Oreochromis niloticus: one gene and its partner. The protein of the gene in region 2 purifies or fractionates together with the protein of the main gene of each other region. This does not show direct contact. Links are inferred from orthologs where the notes say so. Each region holds a gene or a part of one and is shown on either strand. Other genes may lie near its edges.

Region 1 (12,132 bases), on a different chromosome or scaffold from region 2:
CGTTGATCACCTGAACAAGGGTGCAGAGGGAGAGAGAAAAGATGTTGAGCAGGGATATATCTGTATGTGCCTGTATGAAGTGAAAGATCTCTTTAAGCGTATTCTACCTGACCATCCCTGGTCTCAATGGTCTTGATGAGGACTTTCTTGGTTGTTGTGGTTTCGATAAGTGGTTTGGAGTCAACCATTGTTTCTAAGACAGAGAAGTATCGTTAGAAACTGGCAAAAACTGTAATTCCAACTGTAAAAATAAGCACGGAGAATCTTACCTCTCAGGTTAAGAGATGAGAAGTTTGGCAAGGGGGTGGAGATTCTGCAGACAGAGAAAATACAGCTCACTAATTAAGATCAGCATCTTGAATCTTGAATCAAATGAGTGTTCATATCTGTATTGCAGATTACTGCATTTCGGAAAATGCTTCTCCCATCACCTGCTCTCCTCTCCTTCCAGCAGCTTTCTATAGGTGGCAATCTCAATGTCCAGAGCCATCTTGACATTTAGCAGGTCCTGGTACTCGCGGAGGTGACGGGCCATCTCATCCTTCATGTTGTGAATGTCCTCCTCCAGACGGCTGATGGTGTCCTGGTACCCGCTCGTCTCCAAGGAGAAGTTCTCCTCCATCTCCCTCATCTGGCGCTCCAAGGACTCATTCTGGGATGGCAGCCAAGACAGAACAAAAGACGCTTTTGCAGTAAAAGTTCAAGTTAATTTTCTGAACTTGTGCTCAGTTTTTTCCCCCTTTGCTTCCAGTTTTACAAATGTTGAATATTTTTATATATATTCTGTATCTTCTATATTGCAGCCAAAAACTGCAAACTCACAGTTCCTTTCAGGGCATCCACTTCACAAGTAAGTGCCTGAACTTGGCGTCTGTAATCATTGGACTCCTGTTTGGCCACTCTCAGAGCTTCATTATTCCTAGCTGCAGCTTCAGTGAGGTCAGCAAACTGGTAATCACAGTGACAAACAGAGAGGAGAGACAGAGGAAGAGAAGGAAAAAATGAGAAATCAACTCTTCAATAAATGATGAGTCAGAGGCTGAAGGAGATGGGAGTACGGCAGTTTTCATGAAGTGTGTAAATTATGAAAGATGTAGCCACGACAGAGCCTTGCAGGGATTACCACTGCGGCACCAGTGCTCTGAGGCACTTTTAAGGTTACTGACTTTCCACTAGTGCTCGAACGGCAGAAAGGAGGATTGCTTATACCTTGCTAGTTCTCAGCATTCTAATGTATAATCAGTTTTTAAGATAAGAAAAACTAATCACATATTTTGGACAAATGATGTTGCATTTATACGGTGAATTTGTTAGCAAACACTTACTTTTTTACCTGTCAAACAGATACAAAGAAACATTAGTGACACTTGTTAGTCTTTTATTGGCCTTCCTGATAAATTTTGGGCCTAATATCTACTGGTTCTGGTGTTTAGTTACATAAATGGTGATGTTATTACTATAAAAACATAAAAAATTCATGAGTTGAATGTGGGATTATTTTGAAGCTGAAGTTCATGTTACTGCGCTTGGTTAAATATGCTTCTCTAAAATGCCTTTACCTTGGATTTGTACCATTCCTCTGATTCCTGGATGTTTTTGGAGGCCAGGTTCTCATACTGCAGACGGACGTCCCTCAGAGCCGCTGTCAGGTCAGGCTTAGCTATATCCATGTCCACCTGCACATGCTGCTGCTGATGGATCTGATTTTGCAGCTCCAACATTTCCTGCAGCAAATTCAGCAGAGTCAGTTTGTACTGTTAGCACAGGAAGTTTTTTTTAACAGTTATTTTGTATGCTTTTGTGCAATTAGCCTTAAAGACTTAAAAAAGCTTTTGAAACTAAACCCTGCTGATGTGGCGCTTGAGCAGATTAACAAATATTTCAAACTATTTGGCCCAGTTTTTCTAAAAGTACCTTTTTCCTCACGGGCTGCACACGTGCAGTGCTTCTGCAGTAGACCGATTTAGCTTAGGCAACAAAAAAGGAAGGCTTACCTCATCATGCAGCTTCTTGAGGAAGTTGATTTCCTCTTGGAGTGACTCCACTTTCCGCTCCAGGTCCAGTCTGGCGAGGGCAGCGTTGTCCACATCCTGTACGATAACACTGACTCTTAATAAGGTGACTTGTGAAGGTGACATGAGTTATGCATAATGTGCTTGCTGACAAAGAAAAAAAACCCCTCTTGTGCACATGCTGTAAAAAGCCCTCACACAATCCAGTGCACAAAATGACCCATTGTATGGTTGATTAAGGTCAAAAACACATGCATCCAATGAAAATCAACTGTGGGCACATGACATGTCCTTGCAGATGTTGGTAACAGATGAGTAGGTGTTTTCTCGTGTCGTTATACAATTCGGCAGACCTTTGCTCAAATATTGCACATAAGCACTGTAATCAATTTCAAGAAACTAAGTGACTTTTTCTCATCTACATTTGTTTGGCACAGTTATTTTATCTTTTGCTCTATGATTCCTGAGCTCAGATGGAGCCTGAGTTTGATTACTATACAATAAAACAAACAAATTAACCTCTATAGCTGCTGGCCTGACATTCTTTGGGTGTGGGAAAAGGCTGGACAGAATTCAGTGAAATTTTTTCTAAGTACTGGAGAATACCCAGAACCACAACAAATTATTAAAGAGGTTATTAATAACCTAACCTGCAATGCCTTGCAGTTTTCTCCAGTGGAATTCCAGTTCTCCTACTGGTAACTAATTTTGCTTGTTATCATTTTATAACATTACTGAATAAAGTTCATAAAGCAGTCTTCTGTTTTATCATACTTAATCATACATACAGACTGGCTGTGGCACCATGGCTTTGTTGGGGCGTTGGCAGGCTGGCAACTGAGGTATCAGCAAATGAAGCAGCTTTGCCTCTGCACTAATGCCACAAACAAAGTGTGCTATTCAGCAGGGGTTCCCAAACAAGCCCAAGGCTGAGAGAGTGACTGTCTGCCTGACTGAGCAAGAGCTGGCTGTGGGCACTGCATTGTTGTCAGTGTGCCACTCAGGCAGACCACAGGGACTTCCTTCCTCCCATTCACACAGACAATGCCATGACTGTGTAACGTATGTATCACTTAAAGCAAGTCCTAAAAGGCATATAATCATCATGAGTCTAACATTTAAACTACATTGGTGGGATGACAACTTTCTTTTTCACCTTTTTATGCCTTGACAACCTTTGGAAACTGTCTGCATGACTCATCCCTGTGAAAACCAGTGATATGGAACAATCTCTGACAGGACCATAACAAGTGAGATTTTTCTGTGCTGATGCTCTCCCAGAACGAGACAGCCGGATCACATGGTGGCTTGTCTTCTCGCTCTGATAACCACATTGGATCCACACTGTTGTTGCCCTTGTGTCCGGCTCATTCATTGTGACCAGTCAGACTTAAAAAGATCTCCTCTCGCTGCAGGCCTGATTTAACTCAACAGTCACAACTTAGCCTTTTGTACCAGTCCAGGGTCAGTCACTGCTCTACAGCTATTTTGGATCATGCCTAGAATCTGCTGTTGTGCCATCAGAAGAGTGCATTCCTGTCTCCACAGCTCATGGGCAATAATTAGAGAGAGATCACCCAGAAAAGAAAAGAGAAAGTTAATCTTCATATTAAGGATAAAGGTTTATCCGATTACTTTCACATCACTTTCCATCAGTTTGGTTGCTTAAACCTTAATTGAACCAAAAACAGCTGAGAATATGAGGCACTGTAGGTCTGCCCTTGAGATCTAAGACACTTCTCTTTATCACCCTCAAAATGTCCATCTATTGCAGTTTTTGGCTGCTGTCACCAGTGTAGAGCTGTACCTGTCTAAAGCTCTGCATGTTTGCCTCAGACTCCTCCCGCTGGGAAATTTCATCCTGCAACCTGTAAAGAAAGGCATAAAGCAGAACCTTTATTTCAGCAGCCACTGTAAATATACACTTAAAAATCATCACTTCTCCTTTAAGCACGAAAAACAACTTTTTGCGCAGTGCAGGGTAAGAATTTATGTTTACATACTCTCACTCTATACACAGTCTGTTTAGGCTCTAACTAATAAAGATTTCTGTAATGTACCAGAGCTGAATAACAGGTCTAGACAACAAAAGAAACAATACATGGAGTTGAGGACAGAAAAGTGCCACGCCTCCTACTTCTCTCTCAGCCTGTCGATGTCGTCCCCCAGGTTATCCCGGTGAACTTCCACGCGGGCCTTTTCGTTGGTGAGCTGGTCCACCTGGCGTCTCAGCTCCCTCATCTCGTCCTCGTAAAGATCTCCGACCCGGGACGTCCCTTTGCCCCGCAGCTGCTCCAGCTCCGCCAGTAGGATCTTATTTTGCTGCTCCAAGAAGCGAACCTTCTCGATGTAGTTGGCGAAGCGGTCATTGAGGGACTGCATCTGCGCCTTCTCGTTGGTGCGGTTCGTGATGAATTCGGAGTTTATGGCGTCAGACAAGGAGAAGTCCAAGTTCTCGGATGCCAGCCGGGGCATGGCTGCACTGCTCCGGAGCCTCTGGGTCTTCGACGCGTATATGGTCGGGGTGGAGGAGAGCCCGAAGGAAACCCGGGAGGAGCGCACCGGGATCGAAAACTGGCGGCTCGAGTAGTTGGACCTTACGGCGGTTTTCTCCCCGCCGAACATCTTTCGGTAAGAGGAATGTGGACCTGATCTATAGGCCATCTTGTTTGTGTCTTTAAGTACCAGAGCACTGTCGCCGATCTGGAATATATCTTGTTTCTATCAGCATCCGCGGAGTGCGCCTGGGAAGGCGTTTCCTAAACCGTTACTCATTTATAGTCTCCTCCTTATGCAAATACGTAACAGTGACTTGAGTGGCACATTGAGAATCCAATCGCAAATCAGAGCACACATATTTGCCTGTCAGACTCACAGATATTTACACCAACTCTTCGGATACAGTAGCCTAAAGTAATTGGATTGTGCTGTTGCGTCCGAGATGTTGATCCTGAAGATTTTGCACACATTTGAGACTACTCTCAGCAAGTTTGCCCGAACTTTAACGCTCATCTTAATTTTTTACTGGGACACCAAACATCACAATGAATGATTTTACACTCTCACTTACTGTAGATGAAACAGTGACATTTTTAACACCCACAAGAGGAAAGGACTTTTTTCATCATACAATGCTGAGAATTGTAAAGAAAACAAGTTAGGGTTTATAAGCAATGCACCCATGTCAGCACTAAGCATATTCAGTGTATGACTACATGTCTAAGTGTAATGCCGTAGTGTTTTACATATGTCTACTATTTTGGTGAAGGGTGTTTGCTTGGGTGAGAAATACAGGTCTAGTAAAGTATGTGCAAGTCAGCAGCCTCACACAACGGTTAATCAGGTTTAAAGAACAAGTCTGATGATGTCACACACTAATCCTAGGAGAGAAAAACAGAGAGCTTGGGGGATATGAGTCAAAGTCATTCAATACTGGCAGGTTTGCTGCATTCCTGAAGCTTTTGTTTGGGGTGTATTATTTGTCACCCTCTTCTCAGACTGACTTGCAACGAAAATAATGAGATATTTCCGTAAGGACTAATCTTTGTGTCCAAAAGCTCTTTCCTTCTTTCCCCTCCTCTGTCTTTTGCCCTTCTCAGTGCACAGGGCTGTCAGTGCTGCAGTGCTGCTGACTTGCTGAGATTCAGTGATTCAGTGACACCTAACACCTCCCAACTGTGCTGCACTGGTGCTGCTGAGCGTTATCTGCTCTTTAGTAAACATAAAATAAGTCCAAGACAGGAGAACAAATTGGTTTTAGTGACGTTTTTTCACTAGATAAGACTGAATGCACAAATATCTCTTTCAGGGAGACTTTCAGATTTTTGGCTTGCGGGTGAGGGTGACTGCGGTTATCTGAAGCTGGCGTGCAGCCCCTGAGATATGACTGTGCAGTAATAAACCCAGCTACTCGGTGAGCTTGTTTGATCTTTGTGACGCAAACTTCAAATTATAGCCTGGCTTTGTCTAAGCAGATTGACTGTTTAAAGCTGTTGGTTTTATTCTCATAGTCCTTATCTGTGCCATATTTGTTAAGGCTGTGCACAGATATTCTAGTCGACGTTTGTGCCCAAAAGCGTGTTAATCAAGTAAGAAGTAAATGGTGATTGTATAAATTGGATTTCACCTCTCTCATTTTGAATAAATTACCAGAACACACAAAATGTTTGCTTTTTGATTTTGAATGTGCAGAAAATAATGTGAGTGTGCAGATAAATGAGAAAGAATCATCTGAATCTATGTTTACATGACTCTGGGGCATAACCTGAAAGGCACTGAGAAGCTTTATGTGTGCACTGTATATATTCTCAGCAATATCAGGGGTCAATATTTTTTTTATTCGATTCAATTCATTTTTATAGCATGAAATCACATTCACCTCAAGGTGCTTTATATTATAAGGTAAAGAGCCTGCAATAATACAGAGAAAATCCCACCAATCAGATGACTCCCTATGAGGAAAAAGTTGGCAACAGTGGGATGGAAAAACTCCCATTTAATAGGAAGAAGCTTCAGGTAGAGCCAGACTCAGGGAGTGTTCTTTTGAGGTGATACAGTACTATGCAGTACTATGCATAGAGAAATATACTCTCTCTTTCTAGTCTCTTTCAGTACTCTCACTGCAGCATTTTGAATCAACTTAAGGCTTTTTGGGGAGTTTTTAAGCACAGTCTGATAATAATAAATTACACTAGTCAATAGAAAAGTATAAATGCATGAAATATTTTTTCAGCATCACTCTGAGACAGGATGTTTCAAATTTTAGAGCTATTGTGCAAGTGCAAGAAAGCAGTCCCACATTTCTGTTTAATAATTATTTGTCTTTTCTTTATTTGTGCAATTATATAAACGAATCCAATAAAATCACAGTATGAGAAGTTAATTGTTTTGAAGTCAATTTTGATACTGATTTGGGGGTTTTGGAGCAGTTTTTTTAATTTCTTAATTTAGCATGCATGTTGTGTTGTTACAAGATGGCTGTCACTGAATCCTATCCTGAAAAGTGAGATTGTGTAAGTATTTCCTATTTTTAAACAAACCTTTGTGAAGTTGATAAAGTTTATGTGTGTGGTCAGATCTGTGTCTAAAGCCATTTAAATTTTTGCTTTTTTTAATGGGATTTAAAGAAGCATCAAATCTTACAAAAGGGCATTTGCCAAAGACATGCAAGGATGAATCAAATAAGGAAAACATGCAAAATTTTCCTCTAGTTAACTTTCAGCATAAAGGGCAAAATGCAGTTAAAGGTATCAAGGAAGATTTTGTACAATATGGCCTGCAGATGTTTTAGTATTAAAGTGAAACATTAAAATCTAAAGAGAACTTCAAAACTTTAATTCCAAACTTTTGAAACTGGAGAAATGATAGGCAAAAGCATAATAACTGAAGTGGTTTGTGGTACTTGAGCATGCAAACATGAGGCCGTGGTCGGAGTAAAACAGTGGACGCCCATTACCAAAAGCGGCTACGGAAATTCACATGATCAACGCTCACTTAGTAACAGGGTGGGGGCCATGAAAATTCCTGCTCCCAGGCCCATTATGATCCCGCTCTGCCAGTATTGGCCACAGAGAGAGACAGAGGAGGCCTGGATTGACACAAACAGAGCAGGGATTGTGTATTGCTGATCTGTCACCTAACTGCATCAAGAGAATGCAGACAGTAGGCCGTAATTATTGTGTGTAGCACGGCGCTTGACAGTGCAACAGTTTGGGCCAAATAGCTCCCATTCTTGGGAATTTATCGCTTGGTCTTTTTATTTTTGTTGCTGAGATTCCGCTTTTCTGCTCCAAAGCAACAGCCCTGCGGGGGAGCTAATTAAAGGAGGCGTACAAAAAGAATCAAATAAGACTCGACATCAGTCAGAGTCAGTCACTCTGTAATGGCGCAGGGCAACAGATAAGTTAAATCTTATTTCTGGGTGTGGTCCCTTCAAAACTGCAGGGTAAAAGCAAAAAGGAACCCTTTGTTTTATCTCCCATGATGGTGAATCACAAACCCGTGCGCACCAGTAGCCATAGCGATCATCCCCAACATTATTTACCAGAACTAAAGTGGAGACAGTGCAGCCACTGTTCATCGATTCTCACAGGACATAAGTGATGTGTTCAGCTATAAGGTTGTGAAAATTAGTTATTGTGGTGAGAAGATTGCAAAAAGTCTCTCTTTCTTTTTTTGTCCTTTGGGCTTTTTAAATTGGTCAGTATCTCTGCGGGTCATGGCCGCTCAGATTATTGTAGGCAGAATCTCAGCACAAAGTATTTGCTGCACATGAGTTAATGCACGGAGAGCAGACAGACGTAAACCTTAATGTGAGAAAGAAAGGTTGTAAATCCACGGCAGGGCCTTCAGTGGGCATTTGTCAAGTCAGTGTGAGAGTCAGGTTATTATCAGTGGAGGAAAGTAGAGCCTGTTTAAAACTGGATTCATGTGGTCAATGCTAATTTTTAGAGAGCAAGAAAAATCACATCAAACACCAGTCTACTACACAATGTTGTGTTCTACAGGAAAACCTCTGCATGTTATTTAGACATACACCACCTAAACAAGGACATTCCCTGATCTAAGAGATGTTCACAAACTCAATCCACAGATGTCCCACCCCAAACCACAGGCCCCAAAGGACTTGCTGTCAGGGTCAGTGACACACACAGTGGTGTCCTTCCTCCGATAGGTCAGGACTGTATTGGTTTCACAGAGTGGGGTTTACACATTGCAGGTCCTTTCAAATGTGGCTGATTCATGCTGCAGATTTACATACTGCTGAGAAACTTACCATGAAGAAACTCCTTGCAGTGCACACCACTGTCTGCTCAGATGGGATGTGTGCGCTGCTACATGTGCTGCAGACAGTCCTGAGATTATAGAGCCGGAGTCATTTGACAAACTTTATTATATTGTCACATTTTCAAAAGCATCTAAGCAGCTCCACTGGAGAGATATTTCACTGCCCAGATGGTTTCATTAAAAAAAGGAAAAAAAAAATCTTGATGTCCAAAGAAAACAGATTCTTCAAGCACCTGTAACCTCATAACCAGGTATATGAAATACCGCACAATCAGTGCTTTTGCATTTCAACTTTAGGGTTGCTGTTACTTGTAGTACATGAGTTTGAATGCAGAGTTTGTATAATACTGTCCAAAAGTCTTGAGCCACTCTTCATTTATTTATGTTTTTCTAGGAACATGGGAAATCAGTGCAGCAGTTTATTGAAACGTGCAAACTTACATAGAAATAAAGTATATGTGTAAACCAAAAGCAGTTTGTACAGTTGTAATAAACTTGAAAGTCAATATTTGGTATGATCACCTTTATTCTTCATGTCACGTCTTTAAGTAGTCTTCAAGAATATTTCTCCAGGCTTCTTAAAGGACATTCAAACCTTTTCTTTGGATGTTGACTGCTGTTTGTTCCGTTCTCTGTCAAGATGATCCCAACCTGCTTCAATGATGTTGACATTTCCAATTTATATTCAGTACACCATCAGACCTGATACTGATTTTCATAGCAGTTCTTGTGTATTTAGGCATACCAGCCTTTTCTCCCTGTTTCCCTTCCTTCAAAATGGATTCTTGATATCCATCTTTCCACTGAGACCATTTCTGATGAGGCTTCGGCGAACAGTAGATGGATGAGCTGAGGTCAGGTTCTGTATCAGGTCTTTGTTGGAATTTTCACTTATTTCTTCAGGACATAACTTTCAGATACTGTTTATCTGGTGTAGATTTTTTTTTTGTCTCTCACTTGTCCAGTTTAGGGTCTTTTTTATGCTTGAGTGACTTGTAGATTAGTCCTAAGTCACTTGACAACTAAACAAACAAAACCAAAAATCCTCTGAAAATGGTCAGGCTCAAGAACTGGACTGCAAAAGGTCCAAAGAAAAACTTTGAAAGACCTTCACAATGCCTGGAGAACTCTTCACCAAGAGCACTTTAAAAGTTACAAGAAAGTCTGGCTCCATTAGAAGCAACATATAAAGAAATAATGGGTGGTCAAGACTTTTGCACAGTACTGAACATTAGTTTTAGCGATACTGCCTGTTTTACTGCTGTTTTTAAGCTTACTGGATCTTTTCTGTCAATGGTAAGCAAAATGCACAGAGTAGGCATGTGTGCTCATTTCGCTTCCACTGGATACCTTTGAACCATGGTAACAACAGAGGAATTAAAGTGCAAGGGCTATTTTCCAAATCTCCATAGTGACTGACAAAACCCTTGGAAAGTATCCAGAATGGTCACTTTGTAAAGACCTCTCTCTCCCATTCTCTTTGTCTCTGTATTTCTTTGTCTCACTCTGTGCTTGTGTGTGTGTTTGTGCGTGTCCATGTGTGATTGCAGGGAAGGGTCAGGGACAGGGAGCGGAAACACCCACACACACTAATAGCATTTCCCAGCATTCTCCCTTCACATTACCATAAAATCATCATGTGTAGCCTGTCAAATATTTAGCATGTAAATGTCGAAATGAATTATCCCTGTTCAAATTAACACCTGCAGTCGTCTGGTCAGACTTGTTTCAAGGATAACATCCCTCTGGTCACGCATATTACAAGCTAGCCTGTCAGTGATGATCACATCAAGTGTCACTTGCATATGCCTGACTGCATCAGGGGGCCATTGCTGACACCGAGTGACAGCTGCAGATGACTCGCACTCTCCTCTGCACCTTCACCTGCCCGAGGATGAGTGAGACTCACATAGTGTACACGGACTAAAACACAGACTTAAAACAACAACCAGTAGATAACAATTTTGTGTCCAAAATCAGGCTATTGAAGTAAATCTTTTAATAGTTTAGAGGATAAATGGAGTAATGTAAGCCTACGGCTCGTTCAAAATTCACATGCTTCACTTAGTTGGAACCAAAGTCAAATATCACCAGAGTCCAGAGATGCTTCTAGGCACTCAACACAAATAGGATTATTTTCACTATTTTATAACTCAACCCTGAAAGTATTTTGAGGAGACAGGGATGAGTGTATATTTTTTGAGCTGCCTTTTTTAACTCCTGCTTATAACTGGGCTACATTAGTCAATTTTCTATTTGAGAGAATAACATCCCACCGGCGTTTCTCACCTAAATCTTTCTAAAAATCAAGCTGACAAACTCACAGACTGACTCGCTGATGTGACGATTGATTGATTGACCGGCTGACTGATTAGGCGATGGATAGAGTGGTAGCCAGGCTAATAAAACCGCCAAAAATAATCTTCTGTTTCCAATGCAGAATCCACTGTGGATGTGTGAACATGTAAACACAGGCTTAAAACACAGATACACCTTTAATAGAGATAGCAATGTAAGTTAAATACTGACTGTACATACAACATTGCAACTCACACCCAAAGTGTGGGTGTTAAAAGAAGGCACATAAAAAAGTTCAAACTCAGAAATGAAAATGTTCACTTTTCTATCATTGGCGATCCTGATGATCACTTGAACACATCCTGATATGCTGATAAAATAAGAAAGCATTCAATTATTACAGAACCAAAGCAACAGTATCAGTTTTTTGTTCACCCAATCAGTTTCACTCCTTTGTACTCTATTTTTGGCCTCAACCAAACCCTAAAGTAAAAAGCCAGTACTACAGTAGTCCAATTCACTGTCTCATAAAGTAGCATATATCCTGCTGATTAAATGAGCCTGGGTAAGAAATCTATAACTTTTAGAATTTTTGTAAGTAAATCAGTTCTTTAACATAAAAAGATGAAACAGCTATTAGAAATAAATGTTCTGGACAAACCCCAACAAGCAGTGAAAGAATACAAGCAATGAAATCTGCTTTCTATTGCAGACTGAGTTATTTTTTCATTTCCTGATGTTCAAGAGATTTGAGGGAGAAGGAAAATAGGTCTTATTTGTTTACATTCTGCTATCAAACACTACCTGATATTCAGCACCAAAAATTATTGTAAATTTAGACTTTTTTTTCTTCTTTTTTTTCTGTATTCAAATGCAAATAAGAGGCACAACTCTCATGGTTCATAATTATTTACAGATAAAACAACAAACTTTTCAAGTTGCATCACATTAAACAACAAACACAGTCAATACTAGCAGCTGTTTCTGTTAAATATCATAGTATGGGGCAGTATTGGCCACATCTCAAATGCAGATT
Region 2 (12,014 bases):
GTTTGTACTTTGTTCTTTAGGCATGGCTTTGTTTATTTTATTAGTATTATTCCAAGAAAATGAAATAATGAATTATGCATTCTGCAGTATAGAAAGACTTTCACAAGAAATATAGTCCTTTTAATTAGATCCTTGACTACTAAACTATTTGCTGTGTTTATGCACAAAAAAGTTCAAGGACTTAGGTTTCTGTTGGGGCACAGTAGCGCTTTAGCTGTTTAGATGGAGTCTATAGGAGTAAAGAGGCAACGATGCAAATAATGAAGATAATAAACAGTTTCGCAAAGTGAGAGTGCTATCAAAGGTTGTTGTTCAACCAAATTATTATTATAACATGCATTACTCTAGTTAAAGACGTAAATCACTGACATATTAAAATTGTGTGTAACAGAAGCTGGAGGTGAGGTACAACAGACAGCCTGAGTATAGTCTAAGCCCCATTGTAATGGAAAGAACACGATGTACACTGTGTGCATAAGCTGACAAGCATCACTCTAGGGCTGAAAATCATAAAGAGCTTGTGTCCAGTGGCCTTACACTATAAAACTCTGACAGAGCTGAAAGGGGCAAGCAACAGAGAAGAAATCTTAAGAAGTTGTTAGGGTTGAAAAATTATTAATTGTTTATAAAATTATTAAATAAAGCTGTTTTATTATCTTATTCATACACAATGCAAATGTGCTCATAAACGTGTTGGCGCTCCATGTTTTGATGATGAAAAGTTTCATCCAACGCTGTGACTGGGCTGAAATATTATTAGTGATGCTGAGTGCAGAGGGTTTTTTGCAGCATGCTTACACACACACACGATCATGGTTTGAATAGTCTCTGAGTCAGGAAGCCTGAACAAGATGTCCTGAACTGGGCCTTAGAATCAGCTGAAGAATAATGGATAATATAGATAATCAAGACCACGCAGGGGGTGTGTTGTGTGTCTGTCTAGCCATGATAATCTTTTTTACTGTCACAGTATATAATCTGTGCAGCCCGTCTCACGGTTATCCTTGGTGTGAGGTAGATTATCACACTGCGTTCCAGCACAGTAAACTTGTAATTTCAACTGCTGAAGTAAATTAAATCTTTCTAAAGGACAGATATTTCTCCTGAATTCCTTCTGAAAATTTTGAAGACGACAAAGTCTCTATGTGGTTATAATTAATATTCTGTTCATCCACTCTCTTTCGCTTATCCTTGGGAGGGAGTTTGATAGGTGGCTGGAGCCTATCCCAGCTACCGTAAGGCAAGAGGCGGGGTACATCCTGGACATCACCAGCCATTTAGAGGGCTAACACAGAGAGACAGACAGCCATTCACATTCACACCTATGAGTAATTTAGTCTAAGTGTCTTTGGACTATGGGAGGAAGTCAGAGTCTTCATAGAAAATAATACCAACCATTGTTTGTATTTTATCTCTATTAGTTTGCATTAACACAAACACCATAAAGCCAGAGTTTAGCAATATACTCTTAGCCAGTAAATTGTTTATCATTGTCTGTGATGTCCAGTTATTTCATTTAAATCTCAACTAATACATTTGGTAAATGGTAAATGGCCTGTATTTGTATAGCGCTTTACTAGTCCCTAAGGACCCCAAAGCGCTTTACAGATTCAGTCATCCACCCATTCAAACACACATTCACACACTGAAATTGAAACATTTGAAATTTTGAGATGTTTAAATAATATTCGGATTTTTTAGATGTTCATAAAATGAATCATAGGAACTGGAAGTGCTTCTGTCTTTTGTGTTTTTTAGTTTTGAAGTGAAGTTAATCTTGCCAGTGTGACTTTTCTAACTTTATTATTTTATATCCTACATAATCATGGAGGAAAAACATTATCAACATTTAATAGAGCAATAACTGTTGGAGATATTGTTGATCCTGTAGAGGCGTTGCCAACCTAAAAACTGCAAGTATAAAACTTGAGCTTAGAAATGGACATGGAACACCTTAGCTTTGTCAGGTTGTAGGTCAGTTTCATTGTAGGAGCGTGAGATGGTTACAGAACACAACAAGACGAAAAGATAATTTAAACAAAAGATCTTGACAAGGCTATAGTTACACTATAAAAAGAAAGAGGAGAGCATTGGTCTCATCATTTGGAGATACTCTGAAGCTTCCTGTGTCTAGACTTTCAGGTAAGCGAAATTTAATTGTAACCCTTTTTAGTGAAATTGTAATTAATGTTCAATTGTCTAAAAAAAATCACAGTCTAACTGCATTTTAAAAATAAAAGCTCATTGTTCAAAAGAATTTAATTAAATGGTCATTAAGTGCTGTATTTTTTTGAGCGGAATTGTTGCAATACATTTTTTAAGCAAAGCAAAATAACCAAATTAAGCAAAACTAAGCAAATAATTTATAGATCATTAGCACAAGCAATTAAAATGACAGTAATTTATGTATATAGAAGCTGCTAGCTGTCGTTGTTCTGTGTTACAGGTAACAATTACAATATGGCTGCTGTGCAAATCACTACTGTGCTGCTTCTTTTGTCTTTTTCAGTAAATTCACGTGAGTTATATCTTTGAATTTTTTACTCCAAGACACTTAGCAAAGGATATGAAATCCTAGTCTCAATGTTTAGATCCAAAGAGTAATACACAAGGACTTTAAAAGAGCTGACAAAAACAGACATGTTAGTCGATCGGGAGAAATTTCCTGTGACGTGGCTGTAATACTGCTGTCTGACTGAGTTTATGAAGTCAGACAATACTGTAGAAATGAATACAGTACTGGAATATTCTAAGGAGCTTGGAAAGAAAGCAACTGGACTTCTTTAAGTTAAGAAACTTACTAGAATATTCTGCTTTTTTTTGTTAAGGCACATTACCCTGACAATTTATCTTTTTTGTTGTAAACCAAAAGAATGTAAAATATAGAGACAAATTGTCTGATTCGCTCTATCTTTCATCACTGTTTACAGAGAATACAGGAAGGATCATCGGGGGTCAGGAGGTCGAACCATACTCTATCAAATATCAGGCATCCCTTCAGACTGAGGTCGGGGAACACTATTGTGGAGGCACGCTAGTTCACCCAGAGTGGGTGGTGTCTGCTGCCCACTGCTGGAGACCGTAAGTACTGACACCATACAGAAAGATACACAGCTTTACTAATAAACATTAACGAAAATCTTTAATAATTAAAGAGGAGAGAAGGTCTGTTATGAAAGAACATATGTGAAATTTTCATTTCGTTTTAAGTGAGCAACTTTTGTCTCTTTCTGTTTAACAGGAGTACTTTTATGAGGGTTGTGCTATGCGAGCACAGCCTGATCAAAAACGAAGGATTTGAACAGATCTTCAATGTCTCAAAGATATATGTACACAATTATAATTTCAGGACATATGAGAATGACATCATGCTAATTAAGGTAAGTAGGACTTGTACTTAGCTACAAAAAATGGTACCACCACCCTAACTTTGGTTTTTGTTACAGCTTAGCAGACCAGCACAGCTGAATGCATATGTTCAGCCAGTTCTGATACCTGATGAAGGTACCCCTCCCTTTAGTGGCACCTGCATAGTGAGTGGCTGGGGAGTGACACAGGTTTACAGTTACACCCTCTCCCCTGTGCTACGTGCTGTGGATGTAAGAGAAATACCTTACTGCACTTGGTATTACTGGGGCAGGATCAAACCAGGTATGCTTTGTGCTGGATCTCCATACGGAGGAAAGGACTCTTGCCAGGTATACATTCATGGAAAACATGATTAATTATGTGTATGCGCTATGCTTAATTACTATTTAGCAGCTGCGTTTTGTAGAGTAATACTATTTTTAAATGAATATTTCCTCTTAAATTTATAGGCAACATGACACCTGTTATATATGCTATAAAAATATATCTTAACCAATGATGATTTACATATAATTTCAGTGTCATTTTAATACTATTTAACATTTGTCATTCAAGGGTGAATGTGTAATGCTATATTATCAAAAAACAACCCTGATTTGTTGTGGTACTCCACAGGGCGACTCCGGGGGCCCCCTTGTCTGCAATGGCTACTTTGAGGGCATTGTCTCCTGGGGTATCAGCTGTGCAAATCAGTACTACCCTGGTGTCTACACCAGAGTCAGGAGCTATATTCAGTGGATTGACTGGGTTATTGACAACACACCATGAGCTATATTCTTCAAAAACAGTTAAATGAACATAATTTTCAGAGGTCCTGAAATGAATAAATATTAAGGTTAGAATTTCTAAAATGTTGCCTGGAAATATGTCAATATTGCGCCTATAATTAATTGATTGTCACTCTTTTTTCCGATAAGGAATTATAATTGATACAGACAAAGACTTGTTATTATGATATCATTTTTATTTTTTGTTGGTACTATAGCAGTATAATTAGTAACTGTGTTAATCATTCAAAGTGAATTACTATTGAAAAATCACCAATGTTGCTGTTTTCACATGAATCAATTTTCCTAGTATGCCTTTTACTACAAGCAAAACCTCTTATATTGTATTTAAGTTTCATTGTAAATATCACAGTTTCAATTAGTGCAGCTTTAAGAAGGTTTTGACCAATACACTGGGTCTATAAACTGACAAGTGATACTTGCTACTACTAGTATGGAATAAAAGGCTAACCCATCCACAGTGACAGTGAAGATGCTGATTGTCTGTATCATGCTTCTATCAGTCTCTTGTGTTCAACGTTCAAAAAGGCCAAATGTTGCTTAGAATATAAAAATCAACAAAGTGGTCAATTTTTTCTTCACAAAGAAGAGCTGACCTTTATATGTTCATAAAACATATAGCAAATGGCTACATAATGCAGATAGACAAACAAATATTTTAGAAATCTGTCAAAAACCTGTTTAAAACTCAAAATTATCGACTTCACTGAACTCGGGTCTTGTTTTAAACATAAGGAAAGTATTTACTTGTGTTACAGAGAAACTTAGGGCAGCTGTGGCATTAACCTCACACTGGGTGCCTAATAAAGTTGTTGGGTACTGTATCTAAACAACTAAATATAGAAGCTATCCTGCTGCATACTGGAAAAATTACAGCTTCTCTGGTGCTGGTTTCCGTTGTTAAGCTAAACCTAAACATTCATGCTCACATTCACACCTACACCAGTTAACCTAACAAAGTTACAACATATCCTAAAAAGCTCTGATTAAAAATAAGGGCATGCTGGGAAGTATATTACTGGGAAATGCATGTGAACCTTTTGAGGTTAACTATAATTTAATAGTGAAACATTATGACCAGGTATAAGTTGAAAATAGTGCAAAAAGTGTGTATGATACATCTACAACCTGGTCCAGTGGAAATGATTGTTAAATGAAGACTTTTATAAATCAGTGTCCTTGTTTGGTACAGTGACCTCATCTAGTTAGTTGGTTATGCATGTGCTAAACTAACAACTAACAACAAACGAACAAACAACGATCTACACAAAATGAAAAAAAGGTAAAAAAGTGCCTTTAACCTTGGTGGTTTTCAAACTTTTTAAGAGAATGTCTTAGCATGTGACCTCTCCCTCCTTTTTTCATCCGGTTCCTCCAACCTGCCTGTGTGCAGAGCACTGTAGGAGAAGCTGTGTAGCTGCTCACTGAGATTACACCACTATATACAGCACTACAGTGTGTGTGTGTGTGTGTGTGTGTGTGTGTGTGTGTGTGATAATTATATTTACCAAAAAAGAGTAGGTGGTCGTTTGAACTTGTAATATTATATGGTTAATTTTTTATTCGTACTTTGGAAGTAAACAAAACGTATTGCTGAAGAAAAGAAGACACACCCCTGTCAGGGGCATTCCCTCTGCTTTTTTATTTGCACATTTAAATCTCTGTTCTAAAATGATCTGAAATCTACATCTGTGGTTTACAGTAAGGTGACTGGATCCTACCCAATGGAACTTCAGAGATAAACTATACATGCTGCAGGTTTGGTATTGATCATGTGATCAAGCAAATGCTACCATTTGTCCAATTTTTTATAAGTATTAATGGAAGCTAAATTTGTTTTTATAGTCTTATGCTACAGATTATGCTCACATGTGTGGTTCCTCTCTAGTGTCGTAACTGTTAAGTGTAAATTAATAATTTTTGGTAGTGATGGATTAATGATTAAAATATCTCTTATTTGAGCCACACATTTCTTGTGAGATCATACATTTAAAAAAAAATGGACATAGCCACCTTGATGTTTAGAGAAGTCCTGTTGTGAAGCTTCAGGCTGAGCATTTTTGACAGCTTATATCAGGACTGTGAAAACTGAGGGACACTACACACTTGCTTGCCAACATGCCAGTGACATGGTAAAGCTTTACCCTCCTTTTTGACTCTAGTGAGACCAGAATTCACAAAATTAACATGTTGTATCCAACATACAACAAAACTATGAACTGAAACACTTAAAACAGCAAACTTAATTAGCAGGCTTCATTTATAAACTGTACAGGTGTAATGCACAGATACAGATACTAACTAATTAGTGCAAAGTAACAGATTAAGAAAATACCAGATTTTCACCAAAACCAAAGCACAAAATTCTTGGATGGTCTGTACCACATAGGCAAGCCATAATTTTTGTCAGATTTTTCAAATAAAATTAAGTATCCAGATGGATAGTTGGATGACTTTTTAAGAGAAAAAAAAGAAAAGAAAAACAAATACACAAGAAAAGAAAAAAATCTACATCACCTTGAGTAGTTAAGTAGGGAGAAACTATTCAAACATGTTTGTGTCAAGTTGTAAACAACCTTTTAAACCCCACTGGGAATTGGATTGTTATACTTTTTTTTAATACAGTTTGTGTGTTGACGTTTGTAAACTAGAGCCAGAAGACTAGACTAGAGTAGAGACAATTGTGCTCGGCAGCCCCGCATAAATTTGAACCCCCGGTTACCCTGTTTTTGTGACATGCATAAATGTATTTGTGTTTCTACCCTGATATGTCACCTGATCGCTAAACGCCACCCTCCGGTAAGCGAAGAGAAGACAGTCTAAAGGTTTGCGCATGCTCAGCAGCAGCAGTTATTGTTTTGTTTACATAACGCTGTCCTTTCGAGAGCTAGGTGTGGAAAGCTAGGCATAAGTAAAACTCCCTGGTAGCAGCTTAAATTACCTGTCCGGGTAAATTATGTCTGTGAAACACGCTATTAGCCGGGGACTCGAGTTGGGCCGGTCGGTCTTTCAGCTCGGTCTCCTGAAATCCGGTGGCCGACTCGCAGCAAAGCTCCGAGCTGACCGTTTCCGTGCAGGCCCGTCGGTCCGCACCGCTCAGCCTCAGGCTTTCCTGCCGTCTCGGTACCGCTATTACCGCACTTCTCTGAAAGGCCTGGCAGCTCAGCTTCAGTCCGCCGGCTTCAGGAGGTTTGCTGGTGGGTCCCCGCGTAACAGAGCTGTATTTTTGGCTTTCGGTCTCGGTGTGGGGCTCATCGAACAACAGCTGGAGGATGACAGAAAGAGTGCTTCAACATGCCAGGAGATCCAGGTATGGTATCTAAATGTAGGTCACAGTAGGGTACTTAAGCGACATTTAAGTAAAGTGGTTTGTTACTAGTCGTTTTTCTTTTAGTCTTTATTTTCATGGTTATTTGCCGGATTGTTTTCTTTGTATCTTCACCAATTCTGCATATTGTTTGTGAATGTATGAATGTTTTGTTGATAGGGTAATGCATAGGTAAAGGATTTGTGTACTTTCTTTAATTTGTCATGCTGTTTGGACTGCACTAAGGCCTAAATGGATAACTTGATTGCAATCCTGCATTAATTTACTTTTTATTATTTATAATAACAAACTAGGTAGATTTTGGGGCTTTATAAAGTTGTTGTATACGGCCTATTGATTGTTTTTGTTTCTTTGTTTTTCTTGACTAAATTTGTTTATAGCATGTGATTGATATGAACATATCTTTATGTAGCTTATTTTATTATTATTATTTTTCCCTGCAGGCTGTTTTTAGGAAGAAGAAGTTCCAGGCTCCACTCAAGCCATTCACCTCTGGATTTAAACTGGAGGATTACATTCTAGGGAACCAGATTGGGAAAGGCTCCAATGCAGCTGTGTATGAGGCTGCAGCTCAATTTGCTCCTCCAAAGCAAAGTGCCAGAAAATGCTCCCTGGTGCAGATAAAAGAAGATGAAGTGGAAACTGAGGCACCTCGATCTCTGACATGCTGCTCACTAAGGAACTTCCCTTTTGCTATTAAGATGATGTGGAACTTTGGGGTGGGTAGTATACTAATGGTTTAGTGTAAGATGATTTCACATCTGTTTTAGGTTTTACTCCTCTGTATGAAAACAAATGAAAAAGAGCCACACATCAGTACCGATGGGTATTTTGCTATTTGTTTGCAGGCTGGGTCATCAAGTGAGGCCATCTTAAAGTCTATGTCTCAGGAGCTGGTGCCTGCAGGTCCTCATGCCTTAAAGCAGGAAAAAGAAGAAATTACTTTGGATGGGTAAGTATTATAACCTCAGTTCTTTTTATTCCTGCCTCAGAGTGGTGACCTAAGGATAGGAAACATGCTCATGAATTGCTGTGATTTCTCTACATGCAGACATTTCGGAGTCCTGCCCAAAAGAGTGTCAGCACACCCTAATGTGATCAGAGTGTACCGGGCTTTTACAGCAGATGTTCCATTGCTACCAGGTGCTCAGGAGGAATATCCAGATGTTTTGCCACCCAGGCTTAACCCTGCAGGCCTGGGCAACAATCGCACTCTTTTCCTGGTCATGAAGAAGTAAGACCTACCTTCCTACCTACCTCAGTCCTTCGCAGTATGTGTGCTTGAAACATTGTAAAAAAAAAAATTAAAAGTCACTGTCTTTGCTTTTAGAAATTTTCATTATTTTGTTTGTTTTGTGTTTTTTTTTATAGTGTACTTGTCAGGTCATTTTTATTCAGTAACTTAACAGATTGTCTGTATCATAGCTATCCATGCACACTGAGGCAGTACCTGGAAATGTCCACACCAAGCCGCAGACAGGGCACCCTGATGGTGCTGCAGCTCCTTGAGGGGGTTGACCATTTGTGCAGAGAGGGTGTCGCTCACAGGGATCTAAAATCAGACAACGTGCTGTTGGAATTCGACTCAGGTCTGAAAAAAATTCAGTAACAGAACAGTTTAAAGCCAAATGTAAACTGTGCCAACTTGAGGTCTGTTTGGGTCACTGATGTTATATTTATTTGTCCTTTATGCAGATGGTTGCCCCCGTTTAGTGATTTCTGACTTTGGATGCTGTCTGGCCCAGAGTGATTCTAGTCTGCAGCTGCCCTTCAACAGCATTTGGGTCAGCAAAGGAGGGAATGCTTCACTTATGGCTCCGGAGGTAGGCTTAAATATTTCTTTATTGTAAATGAATAGTCACAGTTGCTGCGCCGTCTCTTATTGGTGACTATTAAAACTGAATTTTGTGACTTTTACCTCCACTCTGGCTATAACCAGAGGTGACACTTGGATACCATTCAAGTAACCTAATTGTATCTTTGTGTTTTGAAATGAATCATTAAAATAAATAAGAACTCATATAAATAGATTGTTTTCAATCAACTGCATCTAACCACATATTTAATCACTATCATTCCTCACAATATTCCTGTCATCAGGTGGCTACTGCAGTTCCAGGATGTGGTGTGATGCTTGACTACGGCAAGGCGGATGCCTGGGCCGTGGGCGCCATTTCCTACGAGATATTTGGACAGCAAAATCCATTCTATCGAGCAGTGGGACTGGAGAGCAGGAATTACCAGGAGAAGCAGCTTCCTCCTCTACCCTCCACTGTGCCGGCTGATGTGCAGTTCGTGATACGCTTACTTCTCAGGAGGAACCCAAACAAGGTAAAGAAGTGGCTGTGTTTAGTTTAATATTTAAGTTTTCAGACTGCATTTCCAGTAAAAGAGAACTAAAACAATATAGTTTCATTTATTAAGCTGAAATATTGAACTAAAAAAATCACAATTCTTTCAACGCTAAGGGGAATTGTGAAGTTAACTTTCTGTAGATTTACCTGAGAAGGCATCTCTACCATTCCACTACTTAAAAATGCTCTTCTTACTCTGCAGCGCCCCACTGCCCGTGTGGCAGCTAACATGCTACATCTCAGCCTCTGGGGTCGGAAGGCTCTGGCTAACCAGGACAGCGTGGGCATGAGGAAGCTGGCTGATTGGTTGCTGTGCCAGTCTGCTATGGTTCTCCTTAAGGGCTGTCAGGGGCCCAGTGGGAACAGAGTGGAGGCGGAGCTTCAGAGGAGTTTCCTGGCTAACCTAGAGCTGGAGGACCTGCGCACTGCTGTAGGCTTCCTCCTCTATGGGCGAGAGCAGAGCCAGGCCTGCGTGCTGTCTGTCTAGATTTACTCAAACACGTAGCTGAGAGTCACTGATATGGATAAACTGGGGCTTAAATTTGCTTTCAATACTCAGACTTCTGTATGTGTGGTATGTATGTTTTTTTAGCTGTAACATCTAATTGCTATGGGTATTGTTTGAGTATTTATCATGAATTGCCAAGTGGTGTGATTCTCCCTTTTCAAGTATCCGACCCTCAAACCTGTGTCCTCTAATGCTGCTAAAGTTACTTATCTGCATTTCTCACATACTTGTGAATATGTTTCACTTGCCTTCATTACTGTATCAGCAGGAATTCAAGCACTTCAAACATTCAAGTGTTATTGGTACCCATCGTACAAAAACGCAGTTTGTCTTACATGTGCAATGCATTGTGGATTAATGAGACGGCTGCTGGGGAGTGATTGTGTTTAATTTGTCCCAACATTTGAGTTGCTTGGCAGTAATTCTATTATGAGAGTGGATATTTTGTTTTCCAAATTATGATACACTTTTTCATATCAGCCTGTGGAAAAAAAACAAACAAAAACTCGCATTCATGCAGGTTTTTTTTGCAACTATGAAAAATTTTTGTATCAGTGAATGTGGAGGTCAATGCAGATAGCTTAGAAATAATTAAAGTTAGACTCTACTGTGTAGGGTAAGACCAAGTGAAAGGTTCACAAGTAGGACACAGTCCATAAAGTTGCCCCTTGAAGATCTGGTTGCCACTGGATATGTGTTGCAGTCAGTTGTACACTGATATTTCACAGCTAAGGAACATAGACCTGTCCTAAATGCTAGAACATATGAATCACATTGATCCTGATGTGTCATGCATGAGTAATTAATTAATCTTAAGGATATGACTTTGTTCCACATTGCTGATGTTTGCACTCTATGCTCATGTTTTGCACCTGTTCAGAGCTGTGGTTTTCAGCTAATATAATATACAGATTTCAAAATAATTAATTTATTGGGACTTAATCCTTCATATTAGGATAATTTACTGTCAAAAAGAATGAAAGGGATGCATGTATATGGATTCCTACAAAAAGATTATAAGACGTATTTTAGATATATGTCGATTTTTTTGCAGTGTTTCAGAATAAAAGTGTTAAAGAGCCCTGAAGTGGTTGTGCAAGTTCTTTCCTTTTTCTTTAGATATTTTCTAAATAAATAACTCATATTGGTGATATAGTAATATCCATGATTTTTAGGTTTGATGATGAATATTATTAGCACTGTTTGTGAAATAACAAGTTGCTGCCTGATCTTAAATGTCTTTTTCTTTGAGTTCCAAAGGAGATTTCATGTGGATTCTTCCATGTGATCTTGGACAAACTAAAATTGTTTCTCTAAAAATCCCTCACTTACAACTTATAGGTGTTGATATGCAAAAAAAAAACGTTTGATACAAGACTTCATTTTACAGAAGCTTTATTTAAGACAGAGCCATATTAGCATTTTAATAATTTATACTCTGAACAAAGTCAAACAGGTAATAAATAGACTGGAATGTATTTAGGAACACACTGAAGTTTCCTGTATAATTCCTCGTGACCCCTTCAGTACTCCTCTCCTTCCTCTTCTCCTTCACCCTCAATAGAATCAACTCCCACCTCCTCATAATCCTTCTCCAGAGCTGCCATGTCCTCTCTGGCCTCAGAGAACTCTCCCTCCTCCATACCCTCACCCACGTACCAGTGAAC

The links.
Region 1: the proteins of pink1 (region 2) and vimentin A2 purify together in Homo sapiens (affinity purification with mass spectrometry; 3 studies listed by BioGRID and IntAct, with this or other methods). This does not show direct contact. The link is inferred for Oreochromis niloticus from reciprocal best matches to the Homo sapiens genes PINK1 and VIM.

The regions. Positions count from the first base shown.
Region 1 is NC_031982.2:21,158,129-21,170,260, forward strand, and holds the start of vimentin A2, read right to left. Parts: upstream 4,837-12,132; 5' UTR 4,677-4,836; coding exon 4,150-4,676; intron 3,881-4,149; coding exon 3,820-3,880; intron 2,091-3,819; coding exon 1,995-2,090; intron 1,725-1,994; coding exon 1,560-1,724; intron 949-1,559; coding exon 823-948; intron 653-822; coding exon 432-652; intron 314-431; coding exon 270-313; intron 194-269; coding exon 108-193; intron 11-107; coding exon 1-10. Other genes in the region: oxygen-regulated protein 1, read right to left, coding at 12,091-12,132. UniProt on the Homo sapiens protein: Vimentins are class-III intermediate filaments found in various non-epithelial cells, especially mesenchymal cells. Vimentin is attached to the nucleus, endoplasmic reticulum, and mitochondria, either laterally or terminally.
Region 2 is NC_031984.2:8,536,451-8,548,464, forward strand, and holds pink1 (serine/threonine-protein kinase PINK1, mitochondrial), read left to right. Parts: upstream 1-6,995; 5' UTR 6,996-7,113; coding exon 7,114-7,467; intron 7,468-7,928; coding exon 7,929-8,204; intron 8,205-8,333; coding exon 8,334-8,437; intron 8,438-8,536; coding exon 8,537-8,719; intron 8,720-8,910; coding exon 8,911-9,074; intron 9,075-9,180; coding exon 9,181-9,308; intron 9,309-9,585; coding exon 9,586-9,816; intron 9,817-10,041; coding exon 10,042-10,326; 3' UTR 10,327-11,364; downstream 11,365-12,014. Other genes in the region: trypsin-3, read left to right, coding at 2,461-2,518, 2,931-3,081, 3,242-3,380, 3,447-3,698, 3,985-4,137; tubulin alpha-1B chain, read right to left, coding at 11,871-12,014. UniProt on the Homo sapiens protein: Serine/threonine-protein kinase which acts as a sensor of mitochondrial damage and protects against mitochondrial dysfunction during cellular stress.